3 linked regions of the Bombyx mori genome follow. The protein of the gene in region 2 interacts with the protein of the main gene of each other region in a pairwise test. Links are inferred from orthologs where the notes say so. Each region holds a gene or a part of one and is shown on either strand. Other genes may lie near its edges. The genes, in order: ARF GTPase-activating protein Git, Erk and protein phosphatase 1 regulatory subunit 12B.

The links.
Region 1: the proteins of Erk (region 2) and ARF GTPase-activating protein Git interact in a two-hybrid assay, tested with the Caenorhabditis elegans proteins (3 studies listed by BioGRID). The link is inferred for Bombyx mori from reciprocal best matches to the Caenorhabditis elegans genes mpk-1 and git-1.
Region 3: the proteins of Erk (region 2) and protein phosphatase 1 regulatory subunit 12B interact in a two-hybrid assay, tested with the Caenorhabditis elegans proteins (3 studies listed by BioGRID). The link is inferred for Bombyx mori from reciprocal best matches to the Caenorhabditis elegans genes mpk-1 and mel-11.

The regions. Positions count from the first base shown.
Region 1 is NC_085116.1:15,973,884-15,977,540, forward strand, and holds part of ARF GTPase-activating protein Git, read right to left. Parts: intron 3,134-3,657; exon of another isoform or gene 3,116-3,133; coding exon 2,636-3,115; exon of another isoform or gene 1,930-2,635; intron 1,636-1,929; coding exon 1,384-1,635; intron 945-1,383; coding exon 768-944; 3' UTR 1-767.
Region 2 is NC_085116.1:4,060,085-4,064,447, forward strand, and holds the start of Erk (extracellular regulated MAP kinase), read left to right. Parts: upstream 1-1,540; 5' UTR 1,541-1,775; coding exon 1,776-1,903; intron 1,904-4,363. UniProt on the Caenorhabditis elegans protein: Functions in let-60 Ras signaling pathway; acts downstream of lin-45 raf kinase, but before the lin-1 gene product in controlling vulval cell differentiation. Plays a negative role in proximal germline proliferation in the mitotic zone.
Region 3 is NC_085107.1:4,052,457-4,056,113, reverse strand, and holds part of protein phosphatase 1 regulatory subunit 12B, read left to right. Parts: intron 1-1,638; coding exon 1,639-1,787; intron 1,788-3,069; coding exon 3,070-3,225; intron 3,226-3,657.

The sequences.
Region 1 (3,657 bases), about 12 Mb from region 2:
TCAATCAGATTTAATGTCTCATCAAAACACAAAAAAGAATCGCACATTAAAATCCAAATAAGATTGACATAAGTCGGTCTATATAAACGTCCTTATAACACTAAATTGAATACATTCCGTCTAGCTACTGCTATTTACGTATATCTAAGCGTAAAGCATTATTTATCTTCAAGAACACTGTACACTCTTAACACTTTTAGATCGGACGTTCACCTCGTTCCGAACATCGTGCTCCATAATTCTAAATCATAGGAAGACTTATAAAACATTTAACAACTAAAATTGAAAATTATTAATAATTTTTGTACATTTGTACTTTATCTGTTCCACTCTAGTCGGTCTGTGATCAAGCTACATAAACATAGACACGAAAGGCTCCGTAAAGCGGAGACATTTGACTTGTTAACCAACATAAATGAATTATCGTAACTACACAGGTATGAAGCTACCGAGCCGCCATGTTTGTTTACTAAATTGGACAATTATGAAAAAAAAAATTTTCGGTATAAGATTAAAACTTTGCACATTATTGTGACGTCATAAGTCGTTATACGTTTCTCCTTTCGTCCGACGTTCTAGTTCTTTAAATATAATTATTATTATTTGTGAACCGTAGAGTGTCACAGAGCACCCATCTCATCGCGTCACTTCGTAAGTGTTGTCCGGCTTGTCCACCTCCACAGACGTCTTAGCGCACTATTATGTAAGTTCCATGAGGTGAGGGGGGGCGCACGCTACACGGTGGTGTAGTGCGCGTAGTGCGGTCGCTAGGAGGAGGGGGCGGGGGGGAAGTGGGTGAGCAGGAGCTTGGTGGCCTTGGCCAGCTCGTAGGCCGCCGCCCGCAGCTCCGGCAGCGGCGCCGCCGAGTCGCACGCCGCCGACACGCCCTCGCTCGCCGCGCGCAGCCCCGCCAGCACCGCGCCCAGCTCGCCGCCTACACAGTCCTGCGACAACTAGACTGTTACTGCGGGTTGTTAGGCCGTGTTTTACGCCCGCACGGATGGGCACTACAATCGGTTTGAAAAATGACACAGAAGTCCTCAATTCAATGGAGACTTCAATCTCAGGCTACGGGTTCGCTACAGGCGCCAGATCGTAGATTAAGGTAGCCCATACGAGACTGCGACGACAGCGAACTCTGTTCATTGCGGCTTCTATTTGTATCAGGATGGGCAGCAGACATGGGACATTAAATTAATGGGCTTGAATTTTGGAAACAAAAATGTGGCATCAGACAATTGTAAACTTAACGCATCAAGAGATCGTTCTCGAAGCCGACAAAGAAACAATGTTAATTTACTAATTTCTGCATAAGTTCTTATCGTATTAGTCAACCGCAGTCCACGTGTAACGAGGGTAGGTGTAGGGCAGCAGGGGACCGACCTGCGGGAACAGCGCCAGCAGCGCGCCCACGGCCCGGCGCGTGTCGCGGGCCCGCTGCTGCACGCCGGACTGTGCGCCAGACAGCGCGCCGGACTGGTGGCGCCGCGCCGCCGCCCACAGCTGCTGGATGCCGCGCGTGACGCTCTCGGCGCGCTTGTGCACCAGATCGGCGCTCGGAATTATGTCTTCCGGGCTGGCACCCTCCAAAACGCTCTGGGTCAACGAACGATCGAAACTCGACAGGGTTGTCAGCTGAAATAAATCAGAATTAATTTGGCAACACTGAACTTGGTCGGACTTCTGTGATCGTAATCATAAGATCTAAAGCCGTCGTCACATAAAGGATAAGATGCCTGATGCATTCGTATCTTCTAAACAACTTCTAATAAAAATATGGACTTTACTGGTGGCAGGAAATCCTGTGAATCCGCAAGGGTAGGTACTACTACCCTGTCTATTTCTGCCGTGAATCAGTAATGCGTTTCGCTTTGAGGGGTGGGGCAGCCGTTATACTACATAACCGAGAATTAGAACTAATTTCTTCAGGTGGGCTGGCAACATTTACGTTGTCGATGTCTATGGACTCCAGTAACTACTTAACACCAGGTGGACCGAGAGCTCCTTTACTCATCTAAAAAAAGGTATGGATTTTTTACAAAAACATAAAGAATGTCGTGGACTTGTTCTACAAGTATTTATCAATTTAGTGAGTTTTCAAATTTGTACTAAAATATTATGTTTTACAAAAATATTCAGATATTTAAAGCAGACAAAAATAAACCCTAATTATTTGTCGAGTATTAGTACTACTGTTTGTAAGAACTATCTACAAATTTCCCATCAGTTTTGTTCAAATTACTCATACAAGGGTGTAAAGGAACAGTTTCCGAAACTCAAAGAGCATTGCACGTAAAGAGGTTTAAGATAAAAAATTGTGAGGGTTAGCCATTTTCCTCCGCCAGGCGGCAGTAGGCGGAGGCAGCCGACAGAACCTTCTGGAAGCCCCGCCCCAGTATTCTCTACGAAAGCAGCGCACGCCCTCGTTTTCGAGAACTGTTCCCGTACTGTATTTATAAGACAACATTTTTAAACAAAGTCCATAACAAATTTTAAATCAAGTCGTCTAGTAAAATTATTTATTCAAAATTAACAATTCTAATGCAAATAGGCTCATATAAAAAAAAACAAAAGTGTTGCCTTATAAACTGTATTAAAAACTACTAAATTAGTATAATTAATATATGATTAGTACCTGGTGTTTAGTAACCTGCCAGTTATTCTTTGGGCCTTCCCTAGTCTCATACATACTGACCGGTCGCTGCGAGCCCTTGGCCGGCCTCACGTCGACCTCGCGGCCCAGCTCGGACTCGAGACTCTTGCCGCGCTCCTGCGCCGCGAAGCCATCGAGACCACTACAGCTCTCCCCGGTCAGTGACGTCACACTGTCGTCATCGATGCTGCTCGTCTTCAAAACGCTGTTCTCTTTAGTCAATCTCTCGACTATGGTTTGTAGATTCCTCAACTGAGTTTTTAGCTCGTCTATGGTCGAGTCTTTGTCGTGCAGTTCTTTTTTTAAATGCTGTATCTGGTCGTCTCGTTCCGGCGTGGCCTGAGCCGGACAGCTGGGCGACTGGGTGCGGCGCGGGTCGGCGATGGGTGACTGTTCAGTGGGCAAGCCCGGGCTGTACGTCGCCGACACGGCGTCCCCTCGCCGCGGGGTCACTGTCGATAGCTGTTGATTACGGAGAGGGTAAGGTCGCTTTCAGACCACGCTATAATATAATAGCATATATTATATAGCTCATAGCACAACAATATCGTGCGCCATACATTGTTATAGACACGTTCACGCTGTACTGTACTATATATTATTGGCTAAGTATACGCTGCTATACTATATGGCAATATAGTATAGCGTTGTCTGAAAGTAGCTTTAGGCATTTGGTGTTTATGCACGCACGTCTATCGCTCCAAAGCTTTTTATATAGCTTCAGTAAATGAATCATAAATTTGAAGAGCTTAGTCATTGTCGCTTAACTTTGTCGTCGTTAAAATTCAACAAAAACTACTATACTTTTCTACTGATCAAGAGAATAGATCTATAGTTAAATTAAGGCTCGACCACCGCCCTGCCTATTTCTGCCGTAAAGCAGTGATGCGTTTCGGTCTGAAGGGTGGGGCAGCCGTTGTAACTGTACTGAGACCTTAGAACTTATATCTCAAGGTGGGTGGCGCATTTACGTTGTAGACGTCTATGGGCTTCCAGTAACCTCT
Region 2 (4,363 bases):
TCATATATTTGAGATGCCAAAAGGTAATTTTAAAGGAATGGTTTGACGTAGATTTGTTGTGTCGCTTCCATAGATAATAATACACTTAAAACTTAAAACTGTATCATGTTTTCGAGTTAGACAAAAATTAAAATCAATGCAAGAAAAAACAATTAAAATGTTTTGGGTTGTTCAGAATCGATTTACCAAGCAAAACCATTTTTACAAATATACAGCCACGTAAAATCTTGAAGAACTATGAATTGTTGTTATTTAAATTTTAAATAATCGACTAATATCTCGAGCTCACCAAATATTGGATAAAAATTGCCGAGAGTGTGTTATAGTAGAGCTGTACAATTGTATTAAAGTAGATTGAAAGATTGAATCTATATTTAAAAAAATGAATTGCTGTTCGTTAGTCTCGCTAAAAGTGGAGAACGGCTGGACCGATTTGGCTAATTTTGGTTTTGAATTATTCGTGGAAGTCCAGGGAAGGTTTAAAAGGTGAGAAAATATAAAAAAGCTCGGAATTATATAAAAACAAACAATTTTGTTTTTCCTTTGATGTGTCCCCTTGATGTGTCTTTTATTTATCGATTGAGGCAATACGAAGTCTGCCGGGTCAGCTAGTCTTCAATAAATATGGTAGAATATAGTAACAGTGATAATTTTTTTTTTTGGAGTTTACCGCTTGTTATCTAGACCTTTAGGCCATGTGAGAGTGAATATAAGCATAGAGGGCTGCCAGATACTAAAATTAGCTACAAAATGTTTTAATTTGCTAGCCTTGTGTATTAACGGTATCAAGCAGTATTTGACGGTAAGCAGCGGCTTGGCTCCGCCCTTGGCATTGCTGACGTCCATAAGTGACGATGACCACTCACCATCAAGGGGGCGGTATACTCGTCGGCCTACAAGCACCATAAAAAGTATATGTCTAAATCATATTTTGAAAAAACTGTGAAACGAGTGGCCGTGTGTACTTTAAGCAATTAAAGTTATATTTTTCAGTAGATTTTGAGAAACCTCATTTTACAATGCATTTCTTTATTGTACACACAGTTACAATATAATAATTGCGAAAAGTTATAAAATGGCGAGCTTAACTCAACAATTGAGTTATCTACCAGCTAACCGTTCTTAAAGAGAGCTTTACATAGGTGGGTAGAAGAGTACAATCTAATCAATTTACTTATTGGTACAATACAATAATTCAATAATAATTCTTCCCTTAGTTCACTCAATAATAGTTGATAATGTAAAATATCAAGATATCGAGTATTTCAGTTCTGTCTATTTATTACTTCTGTGTGGAGATTAGAATAACTGCTAACACAAAAGTTAAAGAGTAAAATAATAAAAGTTAAAGTGTAAAAACTACTGAAATCTAGTTTTCTTTTATTGAAGAAAAATTTAAAAAATTGCAATCATATGTCGTTATACATAATTCAAATAATGTTGTATGTAGTTCAAACCTAGTGGTACATAATAAGGTAGTTGTACTGGCATCCCTGGTGTTCTATGGTGATGTGATTTGATGCAGATTACAGAAAAAAATCCAGTTCATTTTTCTAACGGTACTGTCGCGGCACAGGAGTGTCCGTAAAAGTCGGACGGGCCTCGAAAATGATAAGCGAGTGACAAGTGAACGATTGTTCTGTGGATAATGTAGGTCGCCGCAGTTTGTTGTCATAATTGATGTGAATAACTGATCCCGTGTCCGAAGGAATATATGCTGGCGACGCCGGTGGTCTGAAGAATTTGTGTGTTTAGTGGATCACTAGTTTTAAACCATGGCTGAAGCTGCAGGTGCTGCCAGCAGCAACCCCAACGCTGAGATTATTCGTGGCCAAGTGTTCGAAGTTGGTCCACGGTACACAAGTCTGCAATATATAGGCGAGGGAGCTTATGGAATGGTTGTGTAAGTAATCTGCTAATTGAAACTTTGTTCCCTAATGTCAGCTCTATAACAGAACACCGGCCCCTATCTAAATTGAAGTATATTTTCCTGTTAATAAGCTGCTCTAAATGTTGTCAATGTCTTTGAACACAATTACTTCAAATTTGTTAATGCTTGTTGTTTTGTTTTGTACTTGAGACAATGTTTATTAGAAGTATTTTGAAACTTTGCTTAAAGTTTGAAATCTTTTATAATTACCTCAATAGTTAGCTATCTGATGATTTTAATAATATGTATGTTAGAAACTAAACTTAAATCAAGATTTGAGACATTTAGTAGACAAATTCTTTGAGTTTTATATAAAGATGGATAATGTAGCTTAACAAATGACTTACAAATTGCTCCATGACATTATATCATATAAAGCTTGAGTGACTGCAATACATAATTTTATATTATTTTTATTTATTGCCCGTATTTGGGCTATTGTATTTCATTACTTTGATTCATAAATAGAAAAATATGTTGATCTTTAATAATAACAAAACTCCTTTTTCAAAAATAATTACTAGGTACTAGATATATTACTGCGATGAATTTTTCATAATGCCACAGTATCTATACTTAATGATCAGTGACTAAAGTTTACTAATTTGAAAAGACTATTGTTAGGTACCTAAGCCAGTGAATAAAAGCTGAAACTTCTTTGAAATTTGATGATATTTGTCCAACAGTTATCTTATCTCGGTTTTATCGATTATCACATTATGTTTTACTTTGTTGTTACTGTTGATAATGACATCATGTCTGACAATAAGTTTTGGATAATTTGATTAATATAATATTAGTTAACAATTTTATATCGTCATATTAAAAATCAATACTGGAGAATTGCATACACTATATTAATATTTAAATCGGAGTATATCTACAATACCATACAAGATAACATTATTATAATAATCTCACTATGAAACCAGAAAACAGAATTTTTAATGGCTGTAGTTATATTAATAGTAATATTTGCACGATGGAGTTTTATAAAAAAATAGATAAAAGGGATTATAAGATGTAAATGTGCAACTTAGGCCTTTTGGAGCTACTATTCAGTACTACTATTTACTACCATATGTTTCAATTGAGTTCAATAATACAACATAACAAACCAGCAGTTTTCCATAACTAAACATCCTTAAATTGTGCCTTCCTTAAATTAAAGTTAGTGTGGGTTGAGGGATCAGCACAAGCACCAGTTTTTAAAGTAACTTCTGTTGCTAGTATTACTACTATACATATATTATAGTATTTATTATATACCAGACGACATATTCAATGAACCTAGAGCCCACCTAGTGGTAATTGGATACTGACAGCTACACTACCATTCAAAAGTTTGAAAACACTAAGGTAATTTCAATAAAAATGTCATTAAAACACCTAAGTCATTATTTATATCACATATTAAAATATATTTAGGGCATAAATAAAATGTAACATAAAATACTTTTCATTAAATTCTTGCTTCATCAAAATAATTCACATAAAATATGTGATATTCATTCTTTTGATTAATTTACCAAAATATTCAGAGTCCAGTAATTTCTATTCATTTTGTAATTATTTCCACCACTGTGCTGAGCTTCATGGACAACGGTTCTTAACTTTTCTAACCAGCTCATTCCATACTAATTAAATGGGAGGGATATCTGGTGACCGATGCACATTTCATCTTGCAAAATTTCTTCCTTTTTTCCCCCACCTATTCGCCCGTAGCCTAAAAGGCTATTCCAGCTAAGCCCAGACCAGTAGGTGAGCTCACGGGCTCAACCTGAGAGAATTTTCTAACACTAGCCCTAGCTCTAGCAAGAGCAGTGCTTCGCAGAATCTACCACTGGATCGCAATTGCGACCCACTGAGAAGATCCGGCGAGAAACCCAGTGGGTTGTGCCTATAGACTAGTTCGCACTTCGAACTCTTCGTCGGAGTCGACGAGTTCGACGAGGACTGTGATCGGTGCATGAAGAGCCTAAAAGCACCGAGAGTGGATCCGGGGGATCCGACAAGACATGTTTTGAGTGACGGCGGCTTTGCTTTGCCCTGTCGCCTGGGTCGGATATACTATAGCTTTCTCCGATCTGGTCGAGCAATAACGGCAGATGTTTGCTGTGCCGAACTCCGAACAATGATAGTAAAACTTGCAGTCAAACAGCCCCGACTCATGAATCGATTTTCATTATTGCGAGACCTCATACAACACGAGAAATCGTTTTAACTCTACAGGAACTGCAATTAGGAACCATTTGTCACCCTCCGTATTCGCCAAACCTTGCTCCAACGGACTACCATTTTTTTCGTCACTTGGACAATTTTCTACGTGATAAAATGTGTTCTTCCCAGGAGGCAGGCTGTACAAGATGCTTTCACACAGTTTGTAGAATCTAGATCACCAGAGTTTATTGCAAAGACATAAATGACCTTCCT
Region 3 (3,657 bases), on a different chromosome or scaffold from region 2:
TCTTGAAATTGTTCACGCGTCATTGTACGTTGATGGTATTATGACAGAAACCTTCCCTACAGCGGCAATTTCAACCGTACCTAGTTTCACCACATTAAGATCTGCGGTTCAGTAACGCATAGAGGACAAAGATTCGTGATTATTTCAACATGTATGCAGATTGTACCAATTAAACGTTTGAATACAGCGCCATCTATTAGATACTTACTTACCCAACCTGGACAATTAAGCATCATGTCGATATGTTAGCTTACACCACCATCTCTTAGAAACTAACTCAGACCTCATATACAACAATGGCCATTTGTCATTTAATAAACAAATAAATTGAAAAATTGAAAATATTGTTATCATGAATTGAGATCTGACTGTTGGGTTGAACGAAGTTGGCCCAAACTGTACATAAAATGCAAATTTCACTTCAATCGGTTCATTAGTTCATAAGTATATCGCGGAAAACAACGAGGGTTAAACATTTTATACGAACACAGATATAAGTAATTAAACCTTTTATAACACTCATGAAGCCATGTCTTGCGATTTTGTTTCCCTTGTGCACTCTCACAAGTACTAAACGCTCAATACACTGGTGGAACATAAATTATCAAATACAAGAATACATACGTTATCACCCTTCAAGTACTCAAATACTCGAATAAAAGTCAAACATTTCATTAATATGGAAAAAAAATTGTAGGAAAATAAATTATAACTAAGTGCCTTTCGCTGTTTTGTTTTCTTTAATTGCCCGCAGACACGCATGCTTTGCCCGGTTTATTCATGTTATTATATAAAAAAAAACGTCACGAAAAAATCTTAATCGAAAATCTTAAAGGTTGTAGTAGAAGAGTATTTAAAATAATTAATACTAAGCCAGTAAAAAACTTAAAGAAATTTAATAAAAATTGCTTGAGAACCTCTCAGGAATTGTTTAAGATGCTCCAGTCATCTCAAGTTTTGAAGTCAAACTTCTTTAGAATCGTGATTTCAAACTCGATGAAACGAAAAAATAAGTCCACAGAGACAGTTTAATACAGCGCCATCTATGAGAGTTTTTAATACTAACGCGTGTATGAAACCTCTTGTAGTGAATTTTAATTTAGGATTATACGTGAAGTTAAAATATCAATTCACAGAGGGCGCTACCTCATACTATAAAAGATGATTTATAATTATTTACTAATGACAAAATTTTACATTTAGGGTAATTGTATTTTAATTTTTGAGGGTTTCACTTCTACCACGTGTGAATTGCAAACATGTATTTTTTTATTCTCGGATCGCTCATCACAGGAGCAGGGCTCACCCAGACTAGTTAGAGCCACTAAATTCATCGACAGTGCGACAGACAGGCTTTGAGTATTTGTAGTTTTTTTTAACGTGAGCTTTTTAAATATCATATGGCCGTAGATCCCTGTTTTGTAAAAGATCACATGATCATTTCGTTATATTAGTGTTTATTGAGTCTGACTACTGCCCCACGAGTTAGGGGTTCGATTTCAGTCTTTATTAAAAATATCTGACATTCGGAACTTGGCTCTGTATATTCTCGTGACGCATGCTTATAGATACCCTTAAACTGGCTAAGAATTCTAGATCGGGATCTTTTCATATAGCTTATTTATTTATTTGTTGCAGGCGTTGATTGTGAGAAGTCAAGGAATGCAGAAGTTGATACGCTGATGAGTGACGCCAGAGAATGGGCATTGCACGGCTACGTTGAAGTTCGAGACTTGAAAACGGGAGGCACGCCGCTCCACGTTGCCGCTGCTAAAGGATATATCGACGTAAATATAAAACTATACTGAGACCTTAGAACTATATCTCAAGGTGTGTGGCGCATTTACGTTGTAGATGTCTATGGGCTCCAGTAACCACTTAACACCAGGTGGGCTGTGAGCTCGTCCACACATCTAAGTAATAAAAATAAATAAATAAATAATAGACTCGATTGAGCCTTTCTAATTATTTTTTTTACTGCCGAGGACATAGTATAGTTTCACCTGTTGTCTCTACAATATATTTACGCTGGCGTATTCTAATTCGGCCTCTGGAGCGCCTTTTCCTGGATAAATGTGCAGACGATCATCTTACTGCCAATCTGATCGTTTGATGAACAGAACCGGGGAAACAGTCAAGACATTTTAAGATGAATCTTAAACCGTTGTGCTTAGCGAGTTTTTTTAACGTTCTCGATGGCGTAAAAGTTAACTCGTATATGGAGTTGGAAAGATTGCCTACGTTTGCCGCTAGGGGCACTTTTTTTTTTTTCGGGTAGTGGGCCGAACCTCCTACGAGGTCCCGCGCTGTTCCAACTGCACACAAATATGAGTTAACTTTTACGCTATCGAGAACGTTAAAAAAATCGCACTAAGAACACAGGCTATACAAAAATAAATAATAGTTTAAAAAAACTAACAAAATACGCTTTTATAGAAAATCCAACTTAAAAATAGGAAATAAATTTTAATAAATTTGAATTAAAAATAGTGTAAAAAAAAATGATTTTTTTGTAAAAAAGCGTGGGGTGCATGATATCAGTAGCTTTTATAATAATTATTTTAATATTTTTACTGGTGGTAGGACCACTCGTGAGTCCGCGCGGATAGGTACCACCGCCCTTCCTATTTCTGCCGTGAAGCAGTAATGCGTTTCGGTTTGAAGGGTGGGGCAGCCGTTGTAACTATACTGAGACTTTAAAACTTGTATCTCAAGGTGGGTGGGTGGCGCATTTACGTTGTAGATGTCTATGGGCTCCAGTAGCCACTTAACACCAGATGGGCTGTGAGCTCGTCCACCAATCCAAGCAATAAAAAAATGAAGAGATATGATTAATTAACTATTTTTTATTTTTTAGTTGAATTTCAATTATTTCAATTTTTTTTTAATTTTTTTTTACATTAAATTTTCATCGGTCCTTAATAAGTATACAAAATTTCGAGTTAATCCGATTTTTTGAAGGGGTTCATAATCATGTTCAAAGATTCCGTTACAAACATACATACATACATACATACGTCTGAAGCCAATAAAAGCGTATTAAAAAAGTATTGTTTTTTGTATACGCAGGTGGCCAAAACTCTACTGGAGGATTGTAATGCGGATCCTGACTGCGTTGACTACGAGGGCTGGACACCGTTGCACGCGGCCGCATTGTGGGGACAAAAGGAGGCGGCAGCATTACTACTCAAATTCGGAGCTGATCCACATCTCAAAAACTATTCGGTTAGATTAAAAAAAATTATTAAATTTTGCTACAATTAATTGGTTAGTACTAAACACTTGATGTTCATTTGTTTATTTTCAATTTAATAACATTTTGAACTCTGTTGGCGTTATCTGTGGGTTATCTATAATGTCAGTATAGATATATACATAAAACAGGTTACAGGTTAGCGTTCTTTTCGGCTGTCTGGGATAAATATATTTAAATGTCTTCCATAGCATACAATGACTGCAGTCTAGATTTTACGTAAAAAAATAATAAAATGAAATAAATACATTTAAATTCTTACAATAAAAAAAAAAACAATTTTGAAGTCTTGTTTTTCTAAATCTTTATTAAATATTTTAATGCTTTGAACTCATCTCCAATTTCCTTTTTTGGTTTACTCAAAATAACATGAAATATTTCATTCGTTTTCAAGTTATCAAGAA